Linked DNA regions of Rattus norvegicus. The protein of the gene in region 1 interacts with the protein of each later gene in a pairwise test. Links are inferred from orthologs where the notes say so. Each region holds a gene or a part of one and is shown on either strand. Other genes may lie near its edges.

The links.
Region 2: the proteins of Swsap1 (region 1) and Zswim7 interact in binary tests that used the Homo sapiens proteins (3 or more experiments, as listed by UniProt). The link is inferred for Rattus norvegicus from reciprocal best matches to the Homo sapiens genes SWSAP1 and ZSWIM7.

Annotation. Positions count from the first base shown.
Region 1 is NC_086026.1:28,761,381-28,765,607, reverse strand, and holds Swsap1 (ATPase SWSAP1), read right to left. Parts: upstream 2,856-4,227; 5' UTR 2,554-2,855; coding exon 2,539-2,553; intron 1,969-2,538; coding exon 1,375-1,968; 3' UTR 327-1,374; downstream 1-326. UniProt on the Homo sapiens protein: ATPase which is preferentially stimulated by single-stranded DNA and is involved in homologous recombination repair (HRR). Has a DNA-binding activity which is independent of its ATPase activity.
Region 2 is NC_086028.1:47,466,062-47,470,347, reverse strand, and holds the start of Zswim7 (zinc finger SWIM domain-containing protein 7), read left to right. Parts: upstream 1-1,428; coding exon 1,429-1,504; intron 1,505-4,286. Other genes in the region: Ttc19 (tetratricopeptide repeat protein 19, mitochondrial), read right to left, coding at 884-987, 1,085-1,265. UniProt on the Homo sapiens protein: Involved in early stages of the homologous recombination repair (HRR) pathway of double-stranded DNA breaks arising during DNA replication or induced by DNA-damaging agents. Required for meiotic progression, hence for fertility.

The DNA.
Region 1 (4,227 bases):
CAGCTGCCTGTGCGCTTCTGTTAGTCTCTTCTGTCTGCCTTTGGGTTGCCACAAAGACTGCGGACTGCACCACAACCCTCCCTTCCGGGTACCCCGTCTTTGCCTGGACCTAGCCCATGGAAACAAAGAGTGAGCACTGAAATTTTGGATCTGGTGATATGAGGACAGACTATAATGGTCAGTGTACATTTCGCTAGCTGCTAATATATGCTGCTCCAAAACCTAATGCCTTCTCCATGGTTGGTAACACTACCCCTGTGGGACATGAACAGACGTCTACTTGACAGATAGAAAACCCACGTACACATACCACCAAAGTCCAATTTGGTGAACCAATAAAGTTTTACTGGAGTTATGCAGGAACATGGGTGAGGGATTATTCAGGGAAATGACTCAGACACATGCATAACCAAAGCTGACTCGGTGACAGAATTCCTAACCACTGAGCTCTCCCTCCAGTTCTCTAGTTTTTGTCCTTGTAGCCCTGGTTGGCCTGGAACTTGGCACATACACCAGGCTGGCCTTAAACACATACACACAGATCCACCTGCCTCTGCACTAGGATTAAAGGCCTGTGCCACACCACACCTGGCCCATTTTGGTTTTTGGAGACAGGATCTAGTGTAAGTCAGCATGGCTTCCAATACCTTATGTAGCCAAGGTTAGCCTTGCATTTGTGACCTCCCACCTCTACCTCCCAAAGCTGGCCTTACCATTTTGCACACCATGATGCTCAGCTTCCGTCAAATGACTTTAAAAATGTATGTCCTAAGAAAGCTAGATGTATGCATACTCTACATGGAACGAATCCACTCCCAACTGCACACCCTGAGTGCTGTGTAAGCTCATGTGTATGACTAGACCCTAACAGTCGGTAAGTCAACACACAGAGGTAACCGGGATACAGGCACCCATGGAATGTGCAAGAGGAGCCAAGAATAGGAGCATACACCATAGGCCCCACCCTCAAGAGATGAGGCTGGAGGATCAGGAGTTCAAGGACAGCCTCAGCTACGTATCTAGTTTGAGACTAGCCTGACTTACGAGAGAGCCATTCTGGGTAAAAAATGCAGCAGATAAAAAGAAATGAACTAGGAAATATGGCTGAATCTCATTAACAATGGTGAGTGGACAGAGGAAGGCTCCAGCGATCTTATTTGTCTTAAAGGTTTCATTATTAATTTAGTATTATTATTAGTGTGCAGGGCATGTGTGGAGGTGAGAGGACAACTTCCAGGAGTCCGTTCTATCTTTCTACCACGTGGGTCCTGAGAATCAGTCATCACGCTGGTGGCCAAGACCCTTGACCTCCTAAGTCATCTTGCCAGCCCCCAACAACAATGATGCTGGTTTATAAACAGGAAACCTACATTCTCAGGTCTTTGAATCTGCACCTGTCCCTGAGGTAAGTATTCCATCCAAGGGAAACCTGGGACTAGGGAGGTTGTCACACCCCAAAGTTAAAGACTGGCTTCCAGCACTTGAACAGTTTTGGTCTGGGCTGAGCTTAGAAGCCTGGGCAGGCCATGGGGTGATCTTCATCTCTCCACCAGGTAAGAAAGTCACTGACCACTCTGTCCTGGGGCTCAGCTTGCCTGTCTCTAGGCTAGCTCGAAGGCAGCAATGCTGTCCCAAGCCTAGGGCATCTGGCTGCAGCCGGCACTGTGCAGGAAAATAACGCTGAAGTAATGCCAGATGTGGGACATCACCATCGGCTTCTTTTTGGGTTTCAAGGGCCACCACAAGCCCACAGTTGCCACTGGCTCCAAGCCGGTGGCTGAAATAGGCAGCAGTATCCAGAAGCAATGCAGCCAAGTAGGCGGTGTCCTGTGTCCCTGGGTCCTCTGCTAAATATTCTTCCAGGCCATCCAGGAGTAGAAGGGATGGGACAGGCGCTGGGGCCTCATGGGCAGAGGCTAGCAGCTGGAGAAGCTCCTGAATTGAGGATGGGTACTGGAATCGAATCTTCTAGAAGATAGGAAAAGGCTAGATTTAATATAGGAGGTCAAAACTCTCTATTACGGCTACCTCACTTCTTCCATACTTTCTGGTCGAGGCTCTCATGGTCCATTTGGAAAGTTCCAGGATGAAGCACCAGCTCAAATATTCACCTTGTTACCCGCCCTTTTCCAGCACTTATCACTGCCCAAAAAAATTTTCTTTAATGCAGAATCTTATGTAGTCCAGGATGATCACAAACTCGTTTTGTGAACAAGGCTGGTCTGACACTTCTGACCTCCTAAGAACTGAATCCCAGGCATATATTACTAAGTCTGGTTAAAGAGATAGAAAGAACCCAGGGCTTCGCACATGTTTTTGTTGGTGGTTTTTGGGGGGGGGGGTTGTTTGTTTGTTTGTTTGTTTTTTGGCTTGGCACCCATGCTCAGCAACACCGCAGGACGGTCTTTCATTTAATCTTCAACTAAGCCGGCACTGTCCCGTCCCAGGTGCCTACTTCGCTTCTTCCACCCACCTCTCCCATATAGACTTTATGACGATTTAGCAGTAAATCTACGATCCACACTGCCATTTACCTACCGAACTGTCACTCATGAGCAACCTAGCCCGCCATTGGGTGACGCATAGCCAGGTCCAGCCCTCCGGTTACCTGGAGCCGCCAATGGTCTCGCGCTGCGGGTGTACTGAGAGGCAGGCTCTGAAGAGGCCTTCGCGTCAGGAAGAGGACGGGCCCGCGGCCTTCCCCTGCTGCCTCAAGAGCCGCGGCAAACAGCAGCGACGTCTGCGCAGAGCGCGGAGCGCCGAGCAACAGCAAGGGCGGCCCGGGGTTGCTATCCTCTCCGGGCCCTGCCGCGCGGCCCGCATTTAGTACCCGCCTCAGCGCCTCCGCCATTTGCTTAGTACCGCTGTCCAATCAGAAGCGAGATCTCATCTTGGGCCCGCCCACACCGAGGCCTCATTGGCTATAGTTCACTGTCTAGGTTCGTTGCTGGAGCTGTCGGCAAATGGTCAAAACAAGGAGAGTGGAGGAAATGGGTACTTGAGGGAATCTGCTGCAAGAAGCCGCGTGGTCCATTAAAAGGAAGGTCGAGCGAGGGTCCAAATGCGCTCCCCAGAGACGCTCAGGCTCTCGGTCGGAGCTGGAGAGAATGGCTCAGTTACGAGCACTGGCTGCTTCTCCAAAAGACCCACGTTCAGTTCCCACTACCTACTAGGTGACTCTCAGCCATCCATAACTACAGTTTGAGGGAATCCGACGCCCTCTTCTGGCCTCCGCTGCACGTGGCACACATTCTAATGGCCCTCCGGGTGCGCGCGCGCGCACACAAACACACACACACACACACACACACACACACACACACACACACACACACACACACACACACACACGTAAAAATAAATCTAAAAATAAAAAAGTAGAAGCCGCTCGGCGCACTTTTAATTCTAGCACTTGAATGGTGGAGGCAGGCGGATCTGAGTTCAAGACCAGACTACAGAAACCGTCTCTTTTAAAAAAGAAAAAAAGTAGGTCCCCTCAACAAATGTTGAGGTCTGCAACCAGCCTGAGCTACATGAGCACCTATCTTTAACAAAACACTAATAATAAAAATCAGACTCGGGGTTGGGGATTTAGTTCAGCGGTAGAGCACTTGCCTAGCAAGCGCAAGGCCCTGGGTTCGGTCCCCAGCTCCAAAAAAAAGAAAAAAAAACAAACAAAAAAACAAACCAGACTCTTAGCTTGCCCACCTGCAAAATAAATATTGTGATTCTATGTGATCATTACAATATGTTGGTGAGAAGATTTGCTAAGGTCACCGAAGGAAAGTTCACAGGTGGAAAGGGATAGCTGTCTGCTAGTCTCTGCATATTGGAATATGGGGGTGGTTTTTACGGGCTACAGACTCATAGATTTGGCCTTTTTTTTTTTTTTAAGGAGGGCCCCAGACATTTTAGCCTATGCCACCGCGATAAATTCATGCAAGGCTGAGGATGAAATTCAGGGTTTTGTACATGCCGAGCAAGCAGTCTAGAAACTCCCATGACACAGGGTGCATGTGCTCTGAGGACTAGTTCCGGGATGGGATTCAGTTCTTTCTCCCTCACCATGTATATTCCCTGGATGGCAGACCTTCAGGGCTCAGAATCCCCTAAGCCATCTCACTGATCCTGATTTTTGTTTTACTTTTTTTAATCTTTTTTTGTGGGGGCGTGTGCAGGATCGCCTGTGTCACCCTGAGTGTGTGGAGGTCAGTCCTTGCCTTCTAT
Region 2 (4,286 bases), on another chromosome or scaffold:
TGCATGGACGGCAGTTGGGGCAAGAGAACAGGACCTGTGTGAGAAAATCTAGGAAAATAGAGGGGAAGGGTGGTGGTGGGGGTGATTTGAGAAGTGTTCTGGATTTGACAGCAATTGTGTTCATTACTGTGTAACTGGGAATTATCAACAACACATTTAAGAACCATTATATTTTCCCTTTTTTTTTCTTTTGAGGCAGGGTTTCTCTGTGTAACAGAGTCTTAACTGTCCTGGACTTGCTTTGTAAACCAAGCTGGCCTCAAACACACAGAGATCTGCCTGAGGAACCACTATGGTTTTTTTTTTAGGCTTAATTTTTTAGGGGGTAAAAAGAAGACTGTTAAAGACACATTTTGGGGAAGGAATTTAAGAAAAAGTGCTTAGAGGAGGGCACGCTAAATCTGAGACATAACTAGAGCCTTGCAATAGAGACAGCATGTCAGTGACACACTGCAGTCTGTGAACACAAATTTGGACGTTGTTGGCATTAAGTCGATATCGAACCCGTTGGAAGAAATTAAATAAACCTGGAGGGAATAAAAGGATGTGGAGAAACAGATTTAGACGTGAACCAAGAGGCATAAATGATACTAAATTGCATTTTCGGGACGTCATACATATTCTATGCACAAAATGTTATTTCGGCTTGGATGTTAACTGATTAAAGCCACCCCCGCAAAACATCCTCAATCAATACATTTGGACAAAATAAATAAGGAAACTGTGAGGGTGCCGTCTCCACCTGCACTCACAACTGCAGCGGTTTTGCTGCAGGATTCGCCCTGGACCAGTCTGGATGCATCCCAACTTTCCACCCCGGGCCAATACATCCAGGCCTCGGGAAGCGGAGCGGAGAGCGCGCACGCCCGATCGATCCTCTCACCTTGGCTCGCTTCAGCAGCTGGATGATCTCTGCCTCCGCCTCGTCTGTCGCGTCCTCTCCCGGCTGCTCCTCTGCCGCCGCGGTTCGCGAGAACCAGGCGAGCGCTGCGAGAAGCGGCTCAGAGGTCACCGGGACCGGCCCGTGCCCGCGCCCCCGCCCCCGCCCCCGCCGGGCCGGCCCCGCCCGGAGCGCTCCGCTCACCTGCCAACAGCGGCAGCACTCGGTGCCCCCGCGCCGGCGCGCCTCGGGTCCGCAGCCGCTCCGCGCCCGGACCCGCGTCACCGGCCCGCTCCGGCAGTAGGCGCGCAGTACAGCCCCCGCACCGCCGGCCCGCGGCCCGCAGCAGGGTTCGACCCAGACGCCAGCGAAGCAGCCGGAACATGCCGACGCGTCCTCACAGCTCCACTAGCCGCGGCTGGCCCGGGACGCCCCGCCTGTCCGCATGCGCGATGACGCGTGATGACGTCACGCCGCCTCGCCCCGCCTTCGGCCTGCCGCGCGCAAAGAGTTCGCAGCCCACGGGAAGAGAAGTCGTGCGGCGTGCTATGGCGGTCACGCTCCCGGAGGTCGTGGAGGAGCTCCTGAGCGAGATAGCCGCCGCTGTGCGGGACAGCGCGAGAAGTATGGCCCGCGAACTTTTATTCTTATCCTGTATAGCTCTGTCCCTGAAGCCTGTGCTCGTTAAATCGCTAAACTAGAGGACTTTGAATGACTAGACGTCAGATCCCTGAGTGCGAGCCGGTGTGCGGGAACCCCGGGTACTTGAAGAGAGCCACTGGGTATACCCAAGGAGTGGGCGAGGGCAGGGATGCGGAATGGCAGATGCCTAGACAATTTTGAGTTACTCGGAATCATTATCCACAATCCGTGATGCAAAGCTTAAAAAAAACACTCTTGTTTACTTTGTTTAGTAAACATATTTTACTAAAAACATTCTAGGGATGCAAAACCTTTAAAGAAATCTGCAAGTTGAAAAGTACTTCTTTCCTCTACCTGTAGAGGTCGCCCTATGCCTGTCTCCAACAAAATGACTAAACAAGGATGATCTTTGCTTACCAGCCAGAGTAGGAGGAGCTACCAATGGGGGAAACTAGTAATGAGGATCTACTGCGTAGCTCAGCTAATAGAGGGCTTGTCTAGCATGTATAGAGCTACCGTGGATTCCCCGCCGCCGCCTAAGACTGAGCACATGGCTGTAATCTCCGCACTTGGAAAGTGGAGACAAAAGAAGGGAAAGTTCAAGGTCAACCCTCAGCTACGAAATACTAGGCCAGACTGGGCTACTGGAGACTATCTGAAAAAGGGAGACGGGGATGAGGGGAGAAGGCTTTTGGAGTGTAGACTAGTTAGAAGTACTCTTCCAAAAATAGCCTCTCTAAATGATAGTCAAATTAGAGCTCAAGACTGCTACTGCCCATTCATTGTGCTCTGTGAAAGGGTTGGCGTTACCGCTTTAACAGAACAAGAAAAATAAGCAAACGAATGGTCTCAATTTGGCCTTTTACGTATGTGTAAAAGATTCAGCCAACCAGGTATTCAAACATGTTTTGATTTCTAAAAGTTGTGGGTTGTCAGTCTGTTGTGAGCTCTTGCATGCAGAATTTGACCGCAGATGTTCTGAGATGTTTACAGAACACTTGCTAGAACGGGGCTGTTGGTGGGTTAATACATATGCCAACAACTGAAGGGGACCCCGAGCTCAGAAACAGACTCTTGTGTTTACTTTTTAGTAGGACACTTTTCAATATTGGTTCTGAGTACTCCTTCCTAATCCCTGATCTTCCTTGGTAACCTTGCAGAATATAAGTACAGGTTGCACATATATGGTTTAAACTAGTTGGTACTGAGCTATGTAGGAAGCTTTGATTTCCTTTCCTGGGTTACTTGGTTTCCCTGAATTATAACCATCTTGGCTTACTTAGTTTTCTACATATGTATTTTTACTTGAACTTCAAATTTTTTCACCACTATCATGGGCCTCCACTCAAAATGTTAAGGTAAAAAAAGACATTTTATCAGTTACATTTTCGTAAAGAAATCTGCCTAGAGCCTGCCGACTTGCCTAGTATGGACTCGCTGGTGTCCGGTCGGGCTACTGCTATCTTCCTTCAGTGTTAAAGGCTTGGGAATTCTCTTTTCCCATTTTGGGTCTTGAGTTTAGCATTTCCTACAATTTACTTTCCTCTTGTTTATCCACTTGTGTATTGTTACCTGTCTTAGTTTATGCAGTACGTACTTGAGTAGGTTCCTGACGAAGGCATGAACTGTACTTTTGAGGCTTTGAATGTCTGAAAAAGGTTTTTCTACTCTCACAGTTAAAAGGTATTGTCTCATGTTGGGAAGAACATTTCTTCAGACATCTGAAAACATTGTTCCATAATCATCTAGCATTTTGCATCTAACTCTGGTGCTGAATTTTGTCTGTGGCTTTTTTTCCCCTCTGGGTATTTGAATTGTCCCTAAGTATCCATGGTTGTCCATATTGCCAACGTACAAGTTCCTTTGGCAGGATGGCACGTGATCCAGACTCACCTTCCTTTGTACTCTAACATGCTAGGTAGGTAGAAGACGTCCTGGGTTGCTTAGGGAAAATGAGAGAAGAATGGCATGTTTAGTAGAGACTCAGAATTTTCCAGGGCTGGTAGTACTGGTTTCAGTTTGGTTTTGTTCGGCCTTTTCATAGTCCAGGCTGGCCTTGAGCTCCCTGTGCTCGTGCCTTAGGCTTCCGAGTGTCACAGTTACAGGCACGTACCTGCCTTTCCATTTCTTTTTAAACATTCCATGGGTGTTTTGCCTGCATGTGTATCAGTGTACCATGTGGGTGCAGTGCCCTCCTAGGCCAGAAGATGGCACCAGATCCCCTTGGACTGGAAAGTGAGCCAGCTGTTGGGAGTTGCGGGCAGGGGGAATGAACTGCTGAGCCGTGGCCCCGCCCCTCAGTTCTTATCTCCTCTTAGTTGAGTCCAAAGATGTTGGTCCCACGTGTATGGAGAGCCAGTTATATCTTCTTTATGACCATGATTCTCAAGCTTCTGATAAGATTTTGTTCGAGTTTCATTTTTACTCCTGGATGGATGTATGTCTGCATGTGTCCACGTGTGAGGGAGCCCCAGAGGCCAGAAGAGGCCCTGTGGAGCTTGCAGTACAGAAGTGAAGAGCTACCCAGTATGGGTGCTAGAAACGAAACTCCAGCTGACCGAGAGCGGCCACCTAGCAGGTGCATCATCTCCCCAGCCCCTGGTTTAGTTTTCCACTCTACCATGTGGCTCTATTAACTTACTTCATAGACGTTTGGTTTTTCTTCCTAGTATTCCCGTCATTTGGCTATAGAATGTCCTTTGTTGTCCCTAAGTGATTTGTCTCCTATATTTAACCTTTCTGTCCCTGCCTCAGCTTCTTGGGA